Linked DNA regions of Nothobranchius furzeri. The main gene of each other region encodes a partner of the protein of the gene in region 3 in a complex. Links are inferred from orthologs where the notes say so. Each region holds a gene or a part of one and is shown on either strand. Other genes may lie near its edges.

The links.
Region 1: wrap53 (region 3) and nhp2 share a complex: the UniProt entries of both Homo sapiens proteins name them as parts of the telomerase holoenzyme complex. The link is inferred for Nothobranchius furzeri from reciprocal best matches to the Homo sapiens genes WRAP53 and NHP2.
Region 2: wrap53 (region 3) and nop10 share a complex: the UniProt entries of both Homo sapiens proteins name them as parts of the telomerase holoenzyme complex. The link is inferred for Nothobranchius furzeri from reciprocal best matches to the Homo sapiens genes WRAP53 and NOP10.

The regions. Positions count from the first base shown.
Region 1 is NC_091750.1:25,732,090-25,740,282, forward strand, and holds the start of nhp2 (H/ACA ribonucleoprotein complex subunit 2-like protein), read left to right. Parts: upstream 1-3,828; 5' UTR 3,829-3,941; coding exon 3,942-4,104; intron 4,105-4,174; coding exon 4,175-4,244; intron 4,245-4,444; exon of another isoform or gene 4,445-4,478; coding exon 4,479-4,584; intron 4,585-8,193. Other genes in the region: cornifelin, read left to right, coding at 191-313. UniProt on the Homo sapiens protein: Required for ribosome biogenesis and telomere maintenance. Part of the H/ACA small nucleolar ribonucleoprotein (H/ACA snoRNP) complex, which catalyzes pseudouridylation of rRNA.
Region 2 is NC_091742.1:80,331,923-80,339,875, reverse strand, and holds nop10 (H/ACA ribonucleoprotein complex subunit 3), read right to left. Parts: upstream 4,230-7,953; 5' UTR 4,102-4,229; coding exon 4,048-4,101; intron 3,150-4,047; coding exon 3,009-3,149; 3' UTR 2,406-3,008; downstream 1-2,405. Other genes in the region: uncharacterized protein, read left to right, coding at 5,645-6,159, 6,229-6,302, 6,396-6,550, 6,952-7,062, 7,170-7,238, 7,585-7,953. UniProt on the Homo sapiens protein: Required for ribosome biogenesis and telomere maintenance. Part of the H/ACA small nucleolar ribonucleoprotein (H/ACA snoRNP) complex, which catalyzes pseudouridylation of rRNA.
Region 3 is NC_091742.1:83,816,042-83,824,317, forward strand, and holds the start of wrap53 (telomerase Cajal body protein 1), read right to left. Parts: upstream 4,592-8,276; 5' UTR 4,380-4,591; intron 3,857-4,379; exon of another isoform or gene 3,749-3,856; 5' UTR 3,709-3,748; coding exon 3,468-3,708; intron 3,382-3,467; coding exon 3,210-3,381; intron 981-3,209; coding exon 885-980; intron 742-884; coding exon 633-741; intron 1-632. UniProt on the Homo sapiens protein: RNA chaperone that plays a key role in telomere maintenance and RNA localization to Cajal bodies. Specifically recognizes and binds the Cajal body box (CAB box) present in both small Cajal body RNAs (scaRNAs) and telomerase RNA template component (TERC).

The DNA.
Region 1 (8,193 bases), on a different chromosome or scaffold from region 3:
GTTTGTTCTATTTGTTTAGTTTTAAATGAAATGACGATTAAATCACAAGTTTTTATATGAAAGTCTAAATTCAACCAGAACCTCTTGTGGACTTTTAGGTTCTATAGAACCAGAATGAAGGACGTGTGAACAGGTCTCACAGTAAACCCCTCTGGGTGAGTTCTGTTGTTGTTTTTTTGTTTACTTTCAGGGTGACCTGTGTTTGGATTGCCTGAGCTCCACCTTCTGTCTCCCGTGTGTATGGTGTCAGATGGCCTCAGAGATGAAGGAGAGGCAGCTGCCAACGGTGCTGAGCGACATCTTCAGCAGCTGAGGATGATGTCATCAGCATGATATCACTGCTCCAGAAGTGACTCGGCTCTTTGTGCTATAGGTTTTTATTTTGATGTTTTTACTCTTTTGTTTTGTCTGATTTGTTTTTTTTTAGTGTTTTCTTCAGTTTCAGACAGAAACTTTGTGATTTAACGTGAACACAGCCTGAAGTGTGACCTCAGAGATAGGATCAAAGGTCATTAATGACATCAGATTTGACATCTTTTGTGTTTTATTACTGATTTTAGTGACTGTGAGTCAAATCGGAGGTCCGAGATAAAACTGGTTTGTTTTTTCATTCAGATCTTAGTTTTTTTTATAGAATTGCTGCTTTTGTTTATTTTATATTTTATCAGGCTGTAGACGTGTAGTCAATAATTTGGGACTTTAGTGCATCTTAGTTCAAATTAAAATGTTCTACCTAAAACTGTCAGTGTTGCGCCCCCTTCAGGTAAGAACTCTGCACTGCATTTGAATTTCTATCATTTAACCCTCTCAGGCTCAAAATAAGTTTTGATAAAAGGACGAACACTAAGTCCTTCAGGGGAACTTCTGAGTTAAAAAAATGCTCATGAAAGATATAAGTATGTGGAGTAACCGGGAAGGTAGGTTTTAACGTTGCTAATCTGCAACACCTGCCTCCAGAGGGTTAAAGCCACTCAGTGGCCTAGTGGTGGGGTGTCTGCCCTGGGACTTGGAGATGGGAGTTTGATTTCCGATCGGGTCGTACCAAAGGCTTTAAAAATGGGACCCAGCACCTCCCTGCTTCACACTCAGCTTTGAGGGGTTGGATCGGGGGGGTTAAACCACCAAACCGTTCTCGAGCACAGCCACCGCTACAGCTCACTGCTCCTCTCCATGGGGACGGGTCACGTGTGGAGATGAATTTCACCAGTGTGTGATGATGACTTTGGGACTTTAACTTTAAATCTGCCATCGCTGTTGTCTAAGAGGTCCAGTGTTTCCCAAACTTGGTCCTCAGGGACCACTGTCCTGCATGTTCTCCATGTTGTCCTTTCACACACCAGTGTGTCTCTGCTGCCACACACCTGACTTAAAGGCCCAATGTGTGATATTTCATCTTATAAGTTATCAAATTTCTTGTATCACATTCTCAAATTTGTTTTTTTTAATGATAATTCAAACAAGCATTTATTCTAAGCATTATTATTAGCTTTATATTTTAATATTTTAGACAAAAGAAGCAGACCGGTGCTCCATATGGCATGCGCCATCTTAAAATACAGTGACCTTTTAGGGACATACAACATATTAAGCTTCGCATTTGATGTTTGCGTTTTTAAATGATGTAACCTCAAAGAAACAGCAGGGGGCAGAAGTGCGCCTTGTAAGCTTGCAGTCTGACAAAGTAACTAAGAAGAAGAAGAAACTAGCCACACCGTACTTCTAGCGATGGAGGATCACACATATTCTACAAGCAAACTTGAGAAACGGGATAGTTTGAAAGCGCTTGAAAGCGCCGATCTTCTAGACTTTATTGCAGCTCTGCCTCTTCCTCTTGTGCGTGGGACGTTGCGGCTGGTTTGAGCAAATTCGGCTCCTTCATCTTGGGATGCTTGCCCTGCTTCTGTCGCATGTCTAACACCTCTGCCTCTCTGTGCGCTGGCACACGTCTGTCCTCGCCCTCTTCCTCTCCCTCGTCCTCTGTCTGTCTCCACTGATGAACCATCGGATGATGTCTGACTCTGTTTACGGAGAGAAAACAATTACAGACTACACTACCTTGTATATTTCCAAAATGGCAAATAGAAATATAACATTTCTCAAATAAAATGAACAAAATATTGTCATTTTTTGTAGTCTGAAGTCATCACTAACTAGCTGCCGTTTGCTATTAGCAAACATAACTGACATAAAAAAGTTTTTCTTATTCAAAACCTATTTAGATTAAATTAATAAAATAAGTTAGATGAAAACAACTAACCTGTTCGCTGACTTGAAAGCTGGAATTAGATGATGACATGCTGCCGTTTACAGCAACACGATTTTGTATTGTATTTGTTATATTTGTTAATAAAGTTTTAAATAATGATTAAAAAAACCTTTTTGATCCTCGGGGGCTCCAATAGCTGCAATACCGACTCTAAACTGCGTGGTGCTAAAGAGTCGGATCTTTTTACTATGATTTCTGTGAATTTCACACAAGGGGCCTTTAAATGAAGCAGTGATTAACGGGCATCTGCAGCACTTGATGTCCTTCTGAAGAGCCGATGTAAATCAGGTGTGCTGAAGCAGAGACATGGACAACATCCAGGACAGTTGTCCCTGAGGACCAGGGTTGGGACACACTGAGGTACACTATGACATAAGCTGGTACTATATGATGTCACAATGCTGTTGTGAGCCTGTGTGTTTGTGTGTTTGTTAGTGGCTCCACCCTCTCACTCTGCCAGGCAACAGCATTTGTTGCACTTTTCAAACAGGAAGTGGGAGTGGAGTAAGCCTCTGGTAGGGGGTGACTTGCTCTTTAATGAGTTAACTAGCAACATTTTACAGATAATAATTATTGCTGTGTGGAATTTGTTGCATCTTTAAAATGCTTCGTAACATTTTTCTCACACACATTCCACTAAATCAGAAGTGAGATCAAAGAAAAGGTTTTTATGTGAGGGCGCACGGTGGTTGGGATGGGTAGCGTTCTGTCCACGTCCGTCACGGGCTGGGTGGGGGTTGAGCGGGTGCGCTTTGCCGACCTCCGGGGAGGCTTGGTACTGGAAGACAAGATGAACGGCTCTCTACAGAGACTCGGCTCTCATTGTTCACTTTGAAAACCAAAAGATTTGATTTGCTCGTGAATGTCACATCACTGCAGATAAATGAGTATGGAAGAAGAGGACAGAGCATCGTTCTTCTCCCAGACGGAGCAATAATCATACATTTGTGTCTCTGAGGACTACAAAGATGTCAGAACTAAAACAGACCACCAGCTGTTTTACATCCAGTGGTCTCCTTTAAAATGCAGCTGAACGCTCACCTGTTCAGGTGCTGCTACCTCTTCTTACTCGTTTTCTTTCTTCCCTCTCATTTTTATGTTAAATTTTCCATTTTCACAATTTATTATGTGTTTTTAATCATGTTTTAGTTTTGTTCTTGTGAAGCACCTCTTGACTCTTATCTTCAGAGGTGTTGCCCTTGTTCAGGCTGGCTTTTGTGTGACCTTCTTCACCACTCTCTTTATTCTGCTCTCCCCACCTATTCCACCTTCCTCAGGATCTTTCCCTATCTATTCACTCTCTCTCTCTTTCTTTACATTTTTTTAATCACAATTGTCTATTTTTTGCTCATTTTAAACATATTTTAACCATTTTCTAAATTATTTTTTTATGTTTTACACTTTTTTTTGTGAAGCGCCTCGTGATTTTCATCCTGAGAGGCGCTATAGAAATGATACTTTCTTCTTCTACACACACACACACACACACACACACACGCACACGCACACACACGCGCGCGCGCGTCTACAGGCCCTCTGTAGACTTTGCCGACATTTCCGCTCCTGGCCGCCGGGGGCGCTGTGGTCCAATGGTCCTGTTAGTCCGGGACAAGAGTTAAAACACGTGCGTGCTGGGTGAAAGCAGAAAGCAACAATCGGTTATTGATTATCAGAGATGACGAAGACGAAGAAGGAAAACGCGGATCCAAATGATTCGGTCGCATCGGCCGGTGGTTCCGAGAGGACCTACCAGGAGCTGGTCTCCCACCTGAACCCGATCTCTCAGCCGCTGGCCTCCAGGAAGCTCAGCAAGAAGCTCTACAAGTGCGTGAAAAAGGGTAAAAGACCACCGAGACCCGTTAGACCGGTGCTTGTGTCCCGCTTCTTTACCCGGTGTTTTGATTTCAGCTGCTAAGGTGAAGAACATCCGGAGGGGCGTGAAAGAAGTTCAGAAGTTCATCAAGAAAGGAGAGAAAGGGTGAGTTAGCTTCACGGTGCCCGGGTCCGTCCAGAACCTCAGTCCCCATTACTGTAGTGGTCCGGTCCGTCACTGTTTTCTGTCCCTCAGAAGAAGTTCCGCACTAATTTTTTTTTTATGTATTTAAATGTGAACATTATTCAGTTTTAGCGCATTGAACCATTCAGGACACCGTAGTCATCCGCGCGTTAGAACCTCACCTGTGCTCACCTGAACCCGGTCTGGTCTCTGCAGCATCGTGGTCCTGGCGGGCGACACGCTGCCCATCGACGTGTACTGTCACCTGCCCATCATGTGTGAGGACAGGAGCCTGCCGTACGCCTACGTGCCCTCTAAAACGGTGAGTGAGTGGAGCTGGGGTCAAAGGTCAGCAGGTGTTGTCAGGATTTCAGATTTCTCACACGTCAGTTTTAACCCTTGACTTCAAGTAAAACACACATTCTATGAGGTAAAGGGCTGGTGTCGTGGTTTTTAGATTCTGATTGTGTTAAACGTTATTATTACTATTATTATTACTACTATTACTAGTACTATTATTATATATGATATATGTGTATATATGATCCAACGGTTTTGATCTAAATCAGGGCCGTGTGCATATCTGGTCCATCTACACCGGGGGGAGGGGGTTCCACGTAGTGAGCTCAGAACGTCAGCGCTATAATGAATCCATGCTTCCGTACCACCAACGATGCTCGAGTGGAATCATCTCTATTTAAAGCAAGGCCCACAGGCAGACCCTGTTAATCGATACTAGATAAATGAGAATGGAAGAAGGTACAGAGCCTCGTCCTTCATCTGGATAGAGGAAGATTTACGAGGACTACAAAGACATCAGAACTAAAACATGCCACCAGCTGTTTGATCAAAGCTGGATAGCTGGAGTGTTTACAGGTTTCCATGGCAATGCCGAAAGTCCGCCTCAGCTCTGTTGCTGAGTTTTCATCATTTATATGTTGTTATCATGTTCTGCTCCAGGGTCTGGGTGTTTACAGTCTCGAGGACGTAGTTTTTGCTGAGCAGTAGTGGTGGTCACGTGACCTTAAAGTTGCCCGTTTGTCACAAGTATGTTTATGTTTATTTATTTGGCAGACGCTTTTATCCAAAGCGACTTACAATTTATAACCTATAGGGCGTGTTGTGATCTGTGGGGGAAACCGGAGTACCCGGAGGAAACCCGCGCATGCATGGGGCCAGAGTACAGCTTTTAACGCAGGGCTACTCGGTTAGATTTTTTGTTGGGCCAAATTATCATGAGGCTTTTGCCAGCGGGCCGTACATTTCCCCGTATCTCATATTTACCTATTAAAACAAAGTGCCGCTGCATTTTCAACAGTTTTATTGAAACAAGTCAAATGACATTAGGATTAACTGCTGGTTTTTAGTGAAAATAATAGAAACTGCAAAACATAGCCAACTCTGGTTTTAACAGAACTCCGAGTCACAAACTCAGTTACAGTACTTGTTTTCGCTTAAAATAAAGCCAAGAAAACATAACCAGCTGTAGTTTGACTGAAATCACGGTCACATAAAGAACACAGTAACGATAATTACAATGTCTTTTATGCAAATAAGAACAAACAAAACTTTCAATTAAATCACAAAATTAAACTACTGGCTTTTAAAGCATATAAATGAAAGAAAAGTCTGAGTCAACAACTCATAGTGACAGCACTTGCTCTGTGCTTAGTAAAGCGTAGAAAACAACCGGTTTAGTAGGGCTGGGGGTAAACGATTATTTTTAAAACGATTATTCTGATGATTATTTTATCGAATAGTCGACTATTCTAATGACTATTTAGAAAATTAATCTAATGATTATTTTTCTATTGCACAATTAACAAAAACCAGAAAATCTCAAATAAATTCCTCAAAAAAATTGATAAATTCTTACTGTAAGAGAATAAACACTACAGGCCTTCCATGCTTTTATTGTGTTGGTTGGTTATGTTCTGGTGACGTGTAGAACTTGGGAGTGCAGGCTGCTGCCTGAGAGGTGGTAGAAGATGGAGTGTCTCCATGCTGCTTTGTTTTGGTCACTTATGTGCGTGAGGCGAGTGGTCTTACGGGTTAAACCAAACTCAGGTGATATTTTACACTAAACCGAAAACCCACAACACTCTAAATGTAATAAAAGGGAGATCTGCACCACAAAAAAAGATGAACTCTAAACCAAAACGTAACAGCTTATCCCAACGCAAGAAGCTGTTAGCGAAGATGCTAACAGTAGCTTTACCAACGTTAAGTTCAAGTTACCAAGTTTAAATAAACCAAAAACACCCAGCAGCAAACAGACCAGCATGGAGGAGAGACCGTTACCACCAAAACAGCTCTCCTCATGTCTGAAAGAAGCTCCTTAATGAAGGGAGAAACGCTCCCGGTGATGTTCTACATCTGCGATAGACACGAAGCAGCGCGTCTGACCCCGGAAGTTGTTGTCCGTTGCCGGGAGACGAAGGGGCAAAACAGGAAAGGAATCTAGTAGTGGACGGACGTTGTTCCGGGTCTTCGGTATTTGGCGGAGATGTTAGTGAAGGCGGAGAAGAGGGCGAACTAGAGGAAAAACAGACAGATTCCTCCTCTATTTACAAACTCCTGGGGATGCAACAAGTGGGCGCGGTGCGTCGACTACCGGATCTGACGTCGACAAATTTTTAGAATCGAGCCGTCGACGTCGTCGAGGCTTCGCTACAGCCCTACGGTTTAGTTTGACTGAAATCCCAGTAGCAGTACCTAACATATTTTTTGTGGAAATATCACAGTCATAAACTAAAACGGTAAGAGCAATTGTGCAAATAAGAACAATCTACATTTTGAATAAAATAACAAAATTAAACTGCTGGCTTTTAAAGCACATCAAAGGAAACAATAGTGTGTTTGGTCCTCATACTGCCGGAGACTGATCGATCTCTAATGAGAAAAATGACACTTGACTGGGCAAGATGAGAAAAGTTAGGCTCGTGTGGGGTGACGGCGATCCGCAAACAATGATGCAGATGCTCCTTTGTCAAGGACATTCGATTCTCTGTTTTTATGGCGTTCATGTGAGAGAAGGCTGATTCGCGTGTTGACCCAAACATTGTTAAGACACATATGGCCAGTTTTTCCATGTTTGGGAACATCTCTGGGACAAAGCTTGGCGCAGCCTTTTTCCTGAAGGACATCTTTGAATTCCCCTGATGCCTGTATTTCATAGGGCTGTAGCGAAGCCTCGACGACGTCGACGGCTCGATTCTAAAAATTTGTCGACGTCAGATCCGGTAGTCGACGCACCGCGCCCACTTGTTGCATCCCCAGGAGTTTGTAAATAGAGGAGGAATCTGCCTGTTTTTCCTCTAGTTCGCCCTCTTCTCCGCCTTCACTAACATCTCCGCCAAATACCGAAGACCCGGAACAATGTCCGTCCACTACTAGGTTCCTTTCCTGTTTTGCCCGCCCTCGTCTCCCGGCAACGGACAACAACTTCCGGGGTCAGACGCGCTGCTTCGTGTCTATCGCAGATGTAGAACATCACCGGGAGTGCTTCTCCCTTCATTAAGGAGCTTCTTTCAGACATGAGGAGAGCTGTTTTGGTGGTAGCAGTCTCTCCTCCGTGCTGGTCTGTTTGCTGCTGGGTGTTTTTGGTTTATTTAAACTTGGTAACTTGAACTTAACGTTGGTAAAGCTACTGTTAGCATCTTCGCTAACAGCTTCTTGCGTTGGGATAAGCTGTTACGTTTTGGTTTAGAGTTAATCTTTTTTGAGGTGTAGATCTCCCTTTTATTACATTTAGAGTGTTGTGTAGGGTTTTCGGTTTAGTGTAAAATATCACCTGAGTTTGGTTTAACCGCCCAGTTTAGAGTTTGGATCCCTACTTATTTGTACTTTGTTTTAATTCCCCACAGGCAGAATTAGTTTTATTATTCCCAACCTGTGGATGGAAAGATTTATGGTTTTTTTGCAGTTGTAA
Region 2 (7,953 bases), about 3.5 Mb from region 3:
GCTGCTCTGGGGCGCACTGACAGAGGTGAGGCTGCCCGGCACAGGCGCCACTGGTCCCTCCGACCATCACCAGCAGGCTAGGTGTGTTAAGTGTCTTGCCCAAGGACACAACAGCATTCTCTGCCAGGAGCGGGGATTGCTCCCACAACCCTCTGATTACTAGACAACCACTCTATCTCCTGACCTACTGTGACCCCAAGAAGGTTCTAATGAAGTGATCTCTAATCTTGTAGTAATGAAGTCTGAGTGCGGCTCTGGACTCCAAATCATGTGATTAATGACAGTTAATTCACCATTTAACATGGGGCATTTACATTTTCACATGCTGGATTAAATATATTTTGTTCTAATAAATAAAATCATCCTTATTAAACTGCATTTAACATTGACTCAGTTATCTCTGATTTTGAATGCATTTGCTGACCTGCAACTTGTAAATAACAAAATTTTTTAAAAGAAATCTCAACATGAGGCAAATATTTCTACAGCAATCTGCCCATTTTTTTAGCTCAGACATTAAAATATCACCCTGCCAAGAACGAGCGGGTGATTATTAAACTTCCAGCAACATTTGGCACAAACTCCTGGTTAGTTTGCTTAAGGCAAATGGAAAAATAAGTGATTAGTGTAGTTTTTAAACGCTGCTCTAGTCTTGTTGACCACTCGAGAGCATTCTGGGATTTCTACACTGACTTGTGTGTCCCTGACACACACACACACACATATATGAATCATCATAAACAGCTAGTTACCGACTGAGGAAAGCCAGTGTGACTGGTTAGGAAGTTGCTCCACTTTCTGCCCCACAGAGACTAAATTATTCCAGACAGGTAATTAACAGGATTTCGGCTAAAATACTGTCATAACAACAAATAAACAACCAATTGGCAGGATGATACAGGAGACTGTGCGATTTCTACAGGAAACGGTGTTCACGTCAGATTATCTCTCAGCATATTTTACATAATCCTTGTTTTTTCATATGCAGTTCTCCTGCAGCATCACCAATGTGTAAAATCATACCAGGCCTGTTGTTTTTAAACAGAGCCTCCAAAAACCTCCAAACTAAAAACAACACTAAACACCTGACTGAATCCAAGATTAAATCAGACGTTGTCAAACAGCCGTAAATGTACTTAAATTAAAATCGATGATTATTACACGATGCAGATGGGGAAAAAACACATCTGTACACTTATCTGTAATAATTACGACAGAAAGTGTTGTTAGTCCTGATGGGAATATAAGGAAAGTCCAAATTAGATATGATGCAAACCGCTACTCAGCTGCCATCCTAAGCCAATTAAAGTGGCCATAATATTTCTGGCTCGAACCGGTCAGTGGAACGTTATGACACACACTTGAGCTGGAAACAAAACAGAAATAAACCAGCTTTAAAATGATTTTAGTGGAAAATAATGGCGATAACAGTGTTTTATCCCCTTCTGCAGATATGGGAGTTTTTTTTTATTACATTCAAACCGGCTTAAATCAGGCGCGCGCGAGGTAAAAAAAAATTAGCCCATTTTAGGACAAACTTGTTTTATCTTCCGTTCTTAATGCTAGATTATGAGAGGTTTAAACGCCGTGCGGTGCGGGCAGAAGCAGGTACACACAGGTGTGGTATCGGCACAGGAGCTCCGTCTCAGGCGCTCCAGCTAGCATTAGCCGGTGGTTAGCCACGCTGCCAATAATAAACAGTCAACTCCTCCGGAGCTTCCAGCTAGCACTCAAGCAGCAACGACAATTTCACCCCGTGAAAAATGTCACACATCACCACGGTCAAACTCATACCTGATTCACGTTTCCCTCAGACAACATTACTGGGTACGGCAGTTCCCGGTGACATCTGTGCTGCTTTTTCTCTGCACTTTTTCGTCCAAGCAACCCACCAAAAACACTCACGCAAGTGAGCCCGTCAGGTCCTAGTTCCCTTGCCGTTGCAAGTTTGCGCATGCGTCGTTTTACTCAGTGACAATAGTGAGGGGAGATGTGGTCTTTACGTAAACAAGTTGTTTACGTTATTTTATTCCAACAATTTAGCAAGTTTCCTGAGTTTAGCACAAAACCAGTTTGCATCAAGAAGGATGAGTTCATATTGAACATAAAACACGCGGAAATAGATTTTCACATTAAAATGTTCAAACTGATAAATTAGCAAATATTAGCTCATAAAGTTCGAATTAAACAATATTAAGAAAAAGCAACATAGCTGAAATGAGCTAATGTTTTTCCGCTGCACCTCAAAATTACCTCGGACAGGTGATGTTTGTAAATGAGAATATTATCAAACACTATCTGGAAAAAATAAAGGTTGAAAAAAATGATGCAATTTTTCATTAAAAACACAACATTTTAACACTCACTGGGTATTTTGAGTACATGGATCAAAATAACAAGTGTGCTTTGAGGGTGTTAATTATTTTACTGTTCATTTTGTCTTTTCAGTTAGTCCAAGATGTTACTGAAACCAAAACATGACATTCAACAGTCACTGACTGAGTGTTTTGTGAATAGTCAAGATTCATTTAGCACAAACAAAAATACCTCTGGGAAACTGTCTGCAGCTCATAAATTACACACCATGACTGAATAGTAAACACCTTATATTTCAAATTCTAGTTTATATTCACAATAAATGTTATTTCTACTCAAATTTTCTTATATGTCGTCGTCCCCCCCAAAATAAAACTGGCATACAAATAGAGGTTATAGGAGCTAACATAGTATTATTTTACTGCAGACAATGTCAAGTATACCTTACTTGTTTAAATGTATGCAATAAAGGAGAATTAGCCATCAAATCCTGAATTCAAACAGTATTCAAGAAAATTCATCAAACATTTTTAAGCATAAAAAATGACAATAACCTCTACTAAAATCTAAAGACCTCATGTAATCGATCCAAACCAGCAAGTCCAACACACCAAGTGTCCTTTCAAAATCCATGTTGCCATCTTCAGCTCTTCATCCATCCATGCCTCCTCACTCCACTCTTTCCAGCTCCCTCACAGGACTGGCCTGGGCTGCTGGGTGAGCAGAATGCCAAAGCGTTTCTTCAGCTGCACTCGGTGTCTGGAAAACTTGTCATCCGGAGAGAAACGAGCCGGATGGGCAGAGCTGGTGGGCTGCCCATCAGGAGATGCCTTCTGTTGGAGGCAAAGATGAAGGGAAATATGTGTGCATTAGGGAAGAACACTGATTTGAAAAATAAAGGCATATGTCAGCTTTTTTTTTTTACATTTCACCAACGAAATAAGATACGTGGATGAAATTAAGTGTAACACCTAAATTCACCTTTTAGAATATGATGGCTATTATGGTATACAATAAAATAAACCCTCACTAACATATGTTTGATTCATTTTCTTGTAACACTACTCTGATTTACAGTAATAACCTATTCAGTTGCAAGTACAATCAGCTTTTAAAACATGTAAAGAGTTTTTTATTTCATGCGTAAAAACTAAATTTTACGCATTTTTCACTAAACTATGTTACGTTTCGGTTATTGACGTATTAATTTAAACTGTTACGTTTCGGTTATTGACGTATTAAAAGCAAAGGATTTTTATATGGTATAAATCAGAAGCTAAAATCAAATGTGTTTGTCCAAAAACACACAAAGGCGATCTGGGATATAACTATTTGTGTTTATACTGGTTCGCTACAAGCTTTCCACGTTAGCCACTAATTGCAACTGTCCATGTTCGCCGCTATTTTGCTGGCTGCACATGGAAAGCACTTTGAATTGCCTGGTATGAAGTAGCCTTTATAAATAAAGCGGCATTGCCATGCTTTGTTAGCTCAGCTGCTATCCATGTTAGATACTAGTTGCTATCAATGTTAGCTACATGTGAGGCTAACGTGAAAACAACACGAATAACACATCTTGAGATTTTTTTGGTTTGACTTGCTCCTTTATGTTTTAATAGAAGCCACGTGATGTTACTTTTCGTTTTCCAACAAAATAAATTTAAATGTAATGAGCTAAAACGTGAAACTGATAGGAGAGAAGACATGTTACGAACAACACACACAAATTACCTTCAGAGTATATACTCTGTCTCCAGACTCGTTAAGATAAAACTGCAAAAACATGACGAAAAGTCTTGATATGAAGCTTTATAAGTTTTAAAAAATCCAACTTTATTTTAGGAAGCTAGAAAACGTGGATCCACGTGCAACGAACTTTCTAGTCGGATATCCGGTTTAATGATCAGGCCGCTTGGAATCATGGGGAACTGAGTTTACTCGCAAATTAGGCTCTTTTGAATATCACACACTAATAAAAGTGCATTTTCAGAACTTTTATGCTTTATTCTAACCACCTCTCAACGTTTTACAGACCCACCAGCATCTATAACAACTCTTTGAAGAATCTTGAATTATATGAGATGATTATTATTATAACAATATTTATTAGATTGTTATAATTATTGTTTCTGAATATCGATTTACAACATTTAATTTTCTTCCGAGAACAAATAAAGTATTTTGGCCCTTAGCTGAATCAGTAACAGAGTAACTTTTACTGGTCCAATTTCAAAACAAAACACAATGTGTTTTTAACCAAAACAACCAAACACATTCTTGAACATCTGCATGAAAATTCTGCTGTGCTATAAAACAAATAAAATATAAAAACTATTTAAAGAACAAGTCACCCCCAAATAAACTTTTTTTGCTGATAAACTAAATAAACGAGTGTCTAATCGTGCTGCAGACATGTGCCGTCAATAATTTGGCACTTCAGTGCATCTTAGTTAAAATTTAGATATTCTGCCTAAAACTGTCAGTGTTGTGCCGTTGTCAGGTAAAAATTCTGCACTGTATTCTAATTTAAATCTGCCACCGCTATTGGCTAAGAGGTATGCTATGATGTAAACTGGTACGTTATGATGTCACAATGCCTGTGTGTTTGTGTATTTGTTAGCAGCTCCGCCCTCTCGGTCTGCCAGGCAACAGCATTTGTTGCATTTTTCAAACATGAAGTGGGAGTGGAGTTAGAATCTGGTACGGGTTGACTTGCTCTTTAAATCCAGTTCTTCCAGAATTATGAAATCCAAAAGCTCACATTCAAAATTAAACAATAATGATGTTTACTTTCAAACAGACATAAAGTTGGAATCTGTTTTTGCAGCATTCACCATAAACTACTCATGTCAAACGAGAAAGGTAAGTCCATGAAAATTCATTCATTAAATTATTACCGGTACATCTTTTTCCACTGAGAACACTTATTTTTCTTCATTAAGCCTATCTAGTGAAACAAATATGTTCAAATTGCTGTTTTAAATTAATATAAGAACCAATTAAAGAACCAAGTCAGAGGAGATATTTGCAACCTTAGCCGAGTGTGCGGTGTTACAAAGTACTTGTTGCTTCAGTCTTGTTGTCTTTGTTTATTTTTTTCTGGTACTTAAAAGCAGCCTCCTAAGTCTGAGAGAGGGTTGGTTCTGCACAGGTTTTCATGCCAAAACCTTCCTTCACATGTGTTTCCTTTTAAAATGTCCCCTGAAAACACAGATAGGAACAGAAAACCTCACAGCAGACTCTAACTTTATGTTGGGAGTCATTTACATGCTGAGAAGTTGTCTGAGGTAACTTCCATCTTTTGTCCAACAGTTTCAGCATCTCCACAATGAATCTCGAGGAGTGTTCCCTCCCTGATTTCATCTCAGATGATTCTGGAGGAAGTTCTTCACAGAACGAGCCGAGACCCACAAGGCCGGCAGACCCTGTTCCACAAACAAGTCGTGAAAGCTCCCAGTCTCTGACTGCAGCAGAGCTGCACAGATGGATGGGTGTACCTGATCAACTGCATCGTTCAGCCAGTTGTAGGAACCCAGATCCAAGCCTGATCCCCAGCTGTTTGGTGTCTCCACTGAACCTGATGGTGTTACCACCTTGTTCTTGGGTCCAGAATAACTCTACACTGATCACTTGCAGTCCCTTTGCTCCTCAGCCCTCCCAAAGGCCCACTAGGAGCTTCATCTCCCACGCACCTCCCTTTAGACCTCCTCTGTGTATGCTGGTTCCCTCCAGCAGCCCACAGGGGTTCTGTTGGAGTGGCATTGGTCTCCTCCCTGCTTTCATCCAACCTATGAGCTGGTGCCTAACCCAGGTTCCTGTCCAGCAGACCCACAACTCAGCTCTGTGAGTCTAGAGGCATCATCTTGCACCCAACTGTAAAATCAGAGTCTAACTGAACATTTATGACTCCAGGATTCAAAACAGACTGCTGGATAAAACGGTGACGCCGCCATCAGTGTTGGACAAGAGTCTGGTTGGAACTCAAGGTCAGCCGTCAGTAATTTATGTAGAAAAGTATAAATAATTACAATAATAAGGTTTTATGGTCAAGTTGTGGCCGTGCGTCCTTCCCCTCACAGATGGACAGCAGAAAGCGCCTAACAAGAATGAAGAACTACAAAACCTCAAAAAGTACCTCAAAGTTCCTCCAGGACCTTCGTCCTCTTGGGAGAAAAACCTCGAGTTTGAACCCTGTGAGGACTGCATGGTTGCCCTGAAGTCCCTCTGTTCTGAGGTTGAAAATGCTTTTGTTTTCAAGTGTATGTACATGTGTGTGTGTGTGTGTGTGTGTGTGTGTGTGTGTGTGTGTTCATGTATATGTACGATATTGTGTGATCCTAAAAGTCAAACAATATTCGTAGTTTTTAGACTGAAGGTTGTAAAATCTGCTGCCACCTAGCAGTTGGAGTTTGAATTGCACTAACTAAAACACAAAAAGTAAACGTTTGAGTAAAAATTCTCAACAAAAAAATCGACATGTTTCTTCTAATTATCGATTCCGTGTCATAACACAAGATATCGCGATATTTCAGAGTATCGATATTTTCTTACATCCCTAATTCCTCTAGATAACACGTAGTAATCTGTAAACATGTGTGATCCCCTTTTAATAAGTATTTGTCGTGTAAACCTCAGGCCACAGAAGACACGGGAGAAGACCAGAGACACGAGACTGAAACAGCAGAAAACACCTTGTGTCTGCAGTACCTGGATGACTTAGGTCATCACGAGGACTTAGTCCAAACTGTGGGTTTAATTCTTTATCTCAAAATGACATCAGTCCTCAACAGGATAGGTTGCCTTCATTTGTAAAAGGCTGCTTATTTTTACAACTGTTGGTGTGTTTTCTTCAGCTGGAGTGGAGCCTGGATCCTGACTTCCTGAACTCCATCCTGTCTTCAGCCCTGGAGCAGCAGCAGGAGGTAACAGAAGCTTTAGACAAGATCTCACAGGACCATGTTAGAGTAGGGCTGCCCTTATGAATGGCTTATAGATATAATACACATTTAACACTTAATAAATGTTTAAGCGTTATTTATTGGTAAGAAAAGACAATCATCTCCTTATTAGCCATTTCTAATGGAGCTTTATTGTAAAGTAGAACTCATCTCATGTTTTTATTTACATTTGACAGAAATGTCTAACTCAGCAGATTACCTGGGTTGGTTTCAAACTAAAAGAGATAGAGAATATATCTTTAATCTTAAATCAGGTCTTTTTGTTTTAATTGTGCACATTTTCTTGTTTTTTGTGCTCTTGAACATGAAGTCAATTTCAGATCCACCTCCCGTCACCGTGACAACATCTCCACAGTCTCCTCCTGATTTGACCTCTTCCCACCTAAACTCCGATCCTCTCAGCATCAAGTCAGAACCAAACCCACACCTGAACAGACAAGATTCCCACGAGAAATCACAAGAAAATCTGTGTCGCCCCCTGGTGGAGTCACCGTTCCTGGAGGAGGAAGCTGACCGTCTCCTTGACAACATGCATCCATCACACGAAGAGAACAAGATCCCGGTTAAAACCCGCAGCACCGCTTGTCCGTACTGCTGCTTCATCCTGGACAACACGTTCACCCTCCCAGACGACACGACCGTAACGAAGAGTGACCCAGACTCACTGCAACGCAAATGG
Region 3 (8,276 bases):
GTCAGAACTCGACTGGTCAAACTGGAGACCAGTTAGAAACGTCTTTAATACAATCACAGAACCAAGAGTCCAGAGTTTTTTGGTGTTTTATGTGGAGTTAATGATCCATTTAAGGTTTCGTATTATTGGATCTTTTCCCCTAAATAACCATCAGCTGACACGTCATAAATCATTTTCTGGGCAGGAAAAGCTGATGATTTACATCCCGTCCTTGCCAGGAAACCAAATCCTTAAAAGAGATGAAGGGTTGTAAATTTTTCAAGCAGCAGTTTAAAGACAACATAACAGATTTTTAATAAGAGTAAAACCCAAAAGGGCTGGTAGAGAAATACGTTTTCCACCCTTATAATACAGGATCTGAAGTCTCTGGGATGGAAGAAAATGGATTACATGTCAATTATTCCTGCTCAGCGATCCTAAACTACCAAAGCACAGCCTCCGTGTTTCTACTGAGATGTAAGAACTGCTTTCTGCCACACATTTCCTCAAGGGTTTGACCAATCTTAGCCCTCGACAGCTGCTGCTCTCCATGTGTTAGATGCGACTTTGCTCCAGCACACCTGATGTAAAACAGCAGGTGTTCAACAGGCTTCTGCAGAAGTTAAAGCTCTCTACCCAGAAACCCAGCTCACCATCTCAGGGAGGAGGTCCCAGCTGTAGCTGTAGATCTCTGGCGGGAGGTTGTAAACACGGAGGACGTTGTCTGCGCTGTTCGTTAGGATACAGGAGCCATCAGGAGCCCTGATGATGGAAGAGGAGGGGGGGATGACACAAGCAGAGAACAAAGCTCAGGGATAATGCAGCTACAACCAAAATAAACCCGATTTTATACAAATATGAACTTTTACTCGTGTGATTTAGTAATTAAACACCAGTGAGGTTACCATTTGCAGCCTTTGAGGTAATTCTCTGGAAAGTTGGAGTACTCGTTCCAGGAGCCCGTCAGCATGGTGGGGTTCTGGGTGAAGTCCAAACCCAGGCTGGAAGCAGAACAGAGACGAGAGCGAGCAGAAACTGAGTGGAACGAATGATCCAGGGGAAAGTCATCCGTTCAGCTGGAAACCAGTACTCGCACTTTGTTTGATTTTCTGTTACTCATGAAAAAAAGAGCTGCATCTTGTAGAAAACAACCGCTTTAACAAATGCCCTTTCAAAATAAGAGCATTTAGAAACAGAAATACATTAAACAATAATAAACATGTGTTACTAAAGTTTGTTTTATTTAGTCAAAAAATGTACTTCTCATCTCCAACATTTTTATTTGATTATATATGTTTGCCTGTATTTTTTATTTGCTCTGTGATGTTTTTGACTCAACTTTTTATGGCTTTGTTCACAAACGTACTACAAATCTTCACTGCGGCCTAATGGGTGCGCTACAACTAAGCAGGTTAAAACAGGGTATCTGCAGGTTTAAGGGAGCCAAATTTAAGACTTTTTAAGACCTTTTTAAACTTTGACCAAATTTAAGCAATTTTTTTAAAATTAAATTTAAGCTATAATTTCCAGCTATTGTCTGGAACCAGTGCTAACCACGTTGTAAACGTGGGATTACCCACCCAGTTACCATTAAACTTGCACTTCCCCGTGGCACAAACTCCCACTAGCTTAACCAGCTAATGTGCTCATCCAAAAATGGCCCCCTTTCACAACCAACTGAATGTGTACGGTTCCGCTTACGCCAACATCATACACAAAAAATGCTGAAGACTAACTAGAAATTCCTGTTCATTGGGTCTTTGGTAATTTAAGACCTTTGGAAACTGTATTTAAGGATTATTTGTCATTTTTAAGGATTTTTAAGGCCTTAAATGTAGAAAAGCAAATTTAAGACTTTTTAAGGACCTGCAGATACCCTGTTAAAAACAAAAACACTAACTTCAAAATTCTGCTTAAAAACACATTTTTATTAGATTTGCTTAAAAAAATAACATAATTCTGAAATATTTTCTTGAACGACCAATTTAATTATTTCTCTCAGACATTTTGTGAGCTTTTTCCAGTCAAATGTTTTTATCTAACCTTTTGGGGTCTGCTGTAGGGCCCTGCAGCTATCGAATATTTTTGTAATCGAGTACTCTATCGAATATTTTATCGATTAATCGAGTACTCTAATAAATTACCCTTTTGCGTTTGTAAACCATTATATCAAACAGCATGTTATAAAATATGAAAGACCTCTTAAAATGAGCCCGCAATTGCCAGTTATTCTTCAAGTTTTATTCAAATTTAGTTTTCAAAACTTCAGCACTTCAACTGTAAACAAATGAGAGCGGCTGCGGCCCAAACAGAACCAGAACCGCTCACGGCGCATGCGCAAACATGGCTCGCCAGCTGTTTCCCTATTAACACCCGTCCGTTTTAATTTCTACACTTTTTTGTCTCACACAATAACAAGGATTGTCGAAAGCATGTTTGCCGTTGTTATGTCAAATTATACTGTTCACAAAACATTTATTTACTTTCTTTCGTTTTCCTCCGCCACTCATAAATACCCGTGTCCTCCTGCAGCAATCCTGAGGGACAACGGACATCAATAACAACACAATAAAAAGTCCGACGTGTTGTAAAAACTGCTATTTTTAGCACATTTTAAGACCGACGTGTTGCTACCAGACGCACGGTGTGAGCTGAAACTGAGTGCTACAAACGAAAAAGTCACAGTGTCTGCAGAATATATAGAAATACAGGCTAAAATGCATTATCTTGTAGAGGCTCCGAGTCCGCTTGCAGAAGTGACATTTACATGTGGATGTTTCCTGGTCAGGTGCTGCAGCATCGAGGATGTGGTGTTGTGGTAGGCTAAATCCATTTTACAGTTTTTAAACTAGAGTACGTTTTCCGCCTTACGACGTGAAAAATGGTCCCACACCTTTGACATTTTCTGTCTTTTTCGCACTCCACCGGGGTCCACGTTGTTCGCCATGGCTTAAAAGAAAGTTCAGTAGCGTCCGCTACTCGCGTGTGCATTCAGTGCAGTATGTATGTGCGTCACTTATTTCGGTCTGGGTGAAACATGACCCCGGGCGATTGCAAAGCCATGAATTAATTAAACATGAATGAAACGAAGCCTCGAGGCAGAGAATTTGACTCGAGGATTTTTGTACTCCAATTATTCGAGGTACTCGAGGAATCGTTTCAGCCCTAGTCTGCTGTATCGTTACCCTCGCTTTAAGAAAACAGAAAAATAAAACATTATTTGAACTCACTGCTGTCCTGCAGCAGGGCTGCCTACAGATTCATTCTCGTTGAGCGCCTCCTCCTCTTCTGGTTTTGTCTCAGTTTCCTCTGCATCATCAGGAGCTTTGGCTCCATTCAGATGACCTGCTGCCACGTCTTCCTCAGCCCCCTCTTCCTCCTCACACCTTTGTTCTATTGTTGCTTTAAACAGAACAGAAGAAACTATATAAATGATATATGTAAGTTTCAACTCTAATGTGTATAACTTCATATGAACAGGACTTTACTTTGTGCAGATGCAGCAGGGTTTTCTAACACACCACCTTGTGATGGGACCGCATCTTGTCCCAGCTCCTCCTCACTCCTCCTGGACCGTTTGGCAGAAGGTGGGAACCCCTCCTCTGAAGTCTCTCCGACTTCTACAGACTCACAACGTCTCAGTGAGGCCTGTGGAGGGGGCTCGCTGTCTGCTTCAGAGTCTGCACCCGCCAGGCCTCCACCCTCCCCACCTCCGGCTGAGTCAGACATGGCTGTGTCTCTGTCCTCCTCTGTCTGGTGTCTTTTTGTCCTGCTGGGAGAGTGCTGTCAGACGTGGGTGAGGTAGGTGCTACTAGGATAGTGCTTCTTCCTGCAGTGTGGACGATTGAGTCTGTCGGGGTTTGATGACATCACCCACCTGAGATAAACAGGTAACAGGATTGTGATTCCAGACCAGATTCTAGAAAACTGACCATTTCAAAATAAGAGCGTGAGAAAGGCTATTTTTTATACAATTATTTTAACTTTAAAAGACCAGCTAACATTTTAGAAACGTAATCTGTTACTATAGCAAAATGCATGGAAAGGTCGGGTTGAACGTATGTGAAGTTTGTGACGACTACAACTACTTAAATTTTAAGTTTTAACTTTTATACAAAGTTTCATCATTAGTGCACCTTAATTATAATAATTATAAAATTAAAGAGGCATAAACACGGATGTTCCAACACCTGTAGCTACTTTAACGAGCCTTCGTGTTCATTTTTAGCAAACCCGACAACTTGTTACAACAGCCGTCGTCTATTTAACTTCAAGTCCACAACATTCATGTAAATAAAGTAAAAACACCTTTGAGTCACGTTTTGGACCACTAACAGAGACCGCTACACTGTGTTTGCTCAGGTTAGCATTGACCGAGCTAACGGGTTGTTGCTACCTACCTGCGTTGTGCTTCGCCTGAGCGTTGATGCTTCGCTGTTTTCCACTCAGCGGTTTTTAATTTTAGACGAAAACAAATTCTACAAAACTAGACGAGGTCTCAGAGGTAGATAACTTAGTTGTCAGTTCAGCAGCTCATTGCGAGAAGTTGTAAACACCGTAGGCGGCCATGTGTCCTAAAGTATCGCGAGACTTCCGTTTTAGAACGTTGCTAGAGCAGGTTACATAATTAGTGGACTTCCTAAAGGAGAATGAATCATGTTTAGACTATATTCGCTTAAGAAAACGCTCAATTTAGTTGTTTTACGGATGTTAGGAACACCTAATGTGAATGTGATACGTTTTAATAAACTAAATGACATTCAAAAAATAAAATAAACAAGACAAAAAATCTGACTTTTTCCTCTAACATTTTTTTTCATACATTTTGATATGCAAATATTTCGCAAGAATTAAATCTTTAAATAAACAGTTCTGACAGATAAATGTGGTTTATTTAGTATTTATTTTGTTCTTCAAACATGAGTCAAACTATTTACACAGCTCTGTTGTTCTTCTCTGAAACAGTTTCATCAAATATAAAGTATGCTGTTATATCCAACAACAATTACAGACTTGTTAGAGAGGAGCTGAGCTGACCGGAGTAAAATTATCATCAAACCATTCTGCAAATTCATATCCACCCGTGCACCAATCAGTGAGTTGTGTTTGAACCAGAAACTAGTGAACGTGATAATAAAAGCCTTTGTAGTGCAGTAAAATAGAAAAGCAGACTGAGCAATGATTAAGCTCACATATTCAGCTTAAAAACAGGGGTTTGTAGGCAAATTAGACTTTATTGCATAGTTAAAAGCTTGTCCAAGATTTGTTTATAATCTCAAAGTGTCGCGGCGTACCAAAGTCTTGCTGGGATGAGTTTGACCTCCATGGGCATTTATTAGAAGGTTAATAGGTGGTAGAAACAGCCAATTGTGTGGCTATAAATGTCACAAAAACCTAATACGTGACCAAAAAACCCTTTTTTTAAAATGTAATTTGACAAACATAGTTCAGGCTTACACAATGGACTGGTTAACTCCTATTCAGTGCTATTGAAGATGTTCACCACCCAATTAATCTGTCAAAATTCATGTGATTAATATATAAAGCTTGTCCTTATAGGACAATATATGCATCTCTTACCAAATCTTCTGGAGTGTTAAACAAAAAGGAAACTTATTTACCCCAACTGCCTTTTTAACTAGGATCCTAATTAGACACCAATTTGCCCCGATCAGCTCAGCTCCACTGCACAGACTCCAGCTCTTTTTGAGCCTGCACCATCAAAAATCACCTAAATCTGAACAAATTCACTCTCCATTTTAGTGAAAACAAAAGCCTACCACCAGCAAAAAGATTTAAAAAAAAAAGAAAGTCAACACTTCCTGCTCTGTGTGTGTAGAACTAAAGGTGAGTGGATGGATGAGGTTTATGCATCGCAGCTCTTTAAGCCAACAGAAAACAGTTAACAAGGTGGTTTCCAACTAACACTCATTGTTGAGAACATTTTCAGTTAGCCATTCGAGACTTAACTATACAAAATAAGGCATGTTGAACAAACAAATAAAGCCAAAACCCTCTATGAGAAGAAACAAAAGGTATAGTACACTATTTACAAAGCTCATCGTGTATATTGATGAGTTGATGTGTGTGTGTGTAGATGGTTCTAGAGGAGCCACTGGAACGTTAGCTGTAAGTGTGCATGTAGTCTGTTTGCAACTCCTTTGGACTTGAGAATTTCTGCGTTGTGTAACCTGTCATGTGTTTGAGTCTTTTTTTTTGTACAAAACTTATTTTTTGGATTCCATCCAGTTCCACCGCTGTAGGAGTTTCCACCAGCCCAGACCTACAGCAACTCCTCTACATTATTTTGTCTTTGATTTCTAGGCAGGAGGGTGGGTTTTAGAAGACCTCTACGCAACCATCCAGGAGCTTCGGGCAGAGATGAGCTATGATCACCATGGCAACGCGTGCCTATTTGTCCTCTTCCTCACTGGAGAGCATCTAATCAAATCCAGAGCTCCAGACTTCCAACGCAGATGGGACTGATGGTTGGTATCCGACCGATGACAGCCTGCTCAGTCCGAGGCCAAGACCAGAGTCTTTGGGAGGTTTAAAGGGCAGCTTTACTCAAACTGACTCACGGATCGGCTGTAGATTAAATCCTCCTCGCAGAGGGCAGCAAATAAAGCAAAGCCGAGCTCCTGATGGAAGACAGAGAGAAAAAAGAAACAGCGCAAGTTTAAACGAGAATGTATCAACGTTAGGACTTGGTTTTAATGACATGAGGTAGAGGAGTAGTGCTTTTAGGGTCCATTAGTTTTAGGGGAGTGGTGACTAATCCTGGTACTCTGAGGCCACCACGCAACATGTTTTAGTCGTTTCTCTGCTCCAAGACACCTGAATTAAGCAGTAAGTTGAACACTTTGTATCAAGAATTGACATCGGAATAACAAACTCATTTATTCATAACCAGTAGCTTAGATTACTGCAATGGCCTCTTCAGAGGCCTCCCAAAGTACACAGTTCCAGCTCCCAACATGCTGCTCTTAAAGGAACAAAGAAATCATACCAGAATCACACTGCTTGTATTAAAAAAACTTAATAGCTTGGCACCACAATGCATAAGAGACATGTTAGTCTGCAACACACCAGTCAGACCACCAAGGTCTGCAGACCATGGAAACCTGGTTATGCATTGTACAACAGTGATTTCCAACTCCCTTCCCTGAGGACCAGTTTGATGAGCTTCTGAACAGGTGATTCAACCACTGAACCGCGCATGTTGGAGCGGGAAAAACACTTAAAAGATTCTGAACAAGGGCCCTCAAAGACCAGGGTTGGAGACCACTTTTGTGGGAGACAATTGAAACAATATCCTCTTCTGCTTATTTGGGTTTGGGCCTGAGCAGAGAGGCCCAGACTTCCCTTCCCTGAGCCACTTGGGCCAGCTCCAGAGAAATCCCAAGGCCTTGCCTGGCCAGCCAAGAAACAAGGTCTCACATTGTGTCCTGGGTCTTCCTTTGGGTCTCCTCCCAGTTGGGGGGTGGCCGGGAGGCATCCTAACCAGATGCCCAAGCCACCTCAAATGTTTCCTCTTGTAATGGAGGAACAGCGGATCTACTCCGAGCGCCTCTCGGATGACTGAGCTTCTCACTCTCTAAAAGAGAGCGCAGACACCCAGCAGAACAAACTAATTTCAGCTGCTTGTATCTGCGATCATGTTCTTTTGGTCACTATCCAAAGTTCGTGACCATAGATGAGGGTGCTGCCTCGATTAGTCGATTCGTCACGATGTTGACAAACAAAAAAGGTCAATACATTTAATAGCTGATCTCGTTTATTATATGAAGCATGTTTTTTGCATCTTGCCTGCTGCAACAAAACTGCTGCTTTCTGTCCTGCTCGAGGCACATGCGCAGTAGTGGCCATCAGAGTCAGCGTCACATCACCGGAACAAACAAGAAATGGCAAGCTGCCACTGTAGCTCAAACGTTTCAGAGCATTTTGCAGAGAGAAAAGAGAAGCATGTACAGTGCAAAAACTGCAAAGTGAACCCTCCTTTCCCGGGAGCACAACGGTGATGCATGAATACCTTAAAAGGGAAGCAGGACAGTCACCTCTGTAAGCTTTTGTTAGCTGCTAACATCAACAGGGAGTTACTTGTAGTTATAGCTTTTGCAACATTAGTGATGGCGATTTTCTTACATTTAGATCACATATGCCACGTATTTGCTCTAACGTTACAAACGCTAATGCTTTATTGTATACCGCTTCGTCAGTGTTAAATAAAAGTGCTCCCCTTCAATGGACAAGTGTGTTACAAACCCAACATCCACACCTCAGCAAAAAAACTTTCT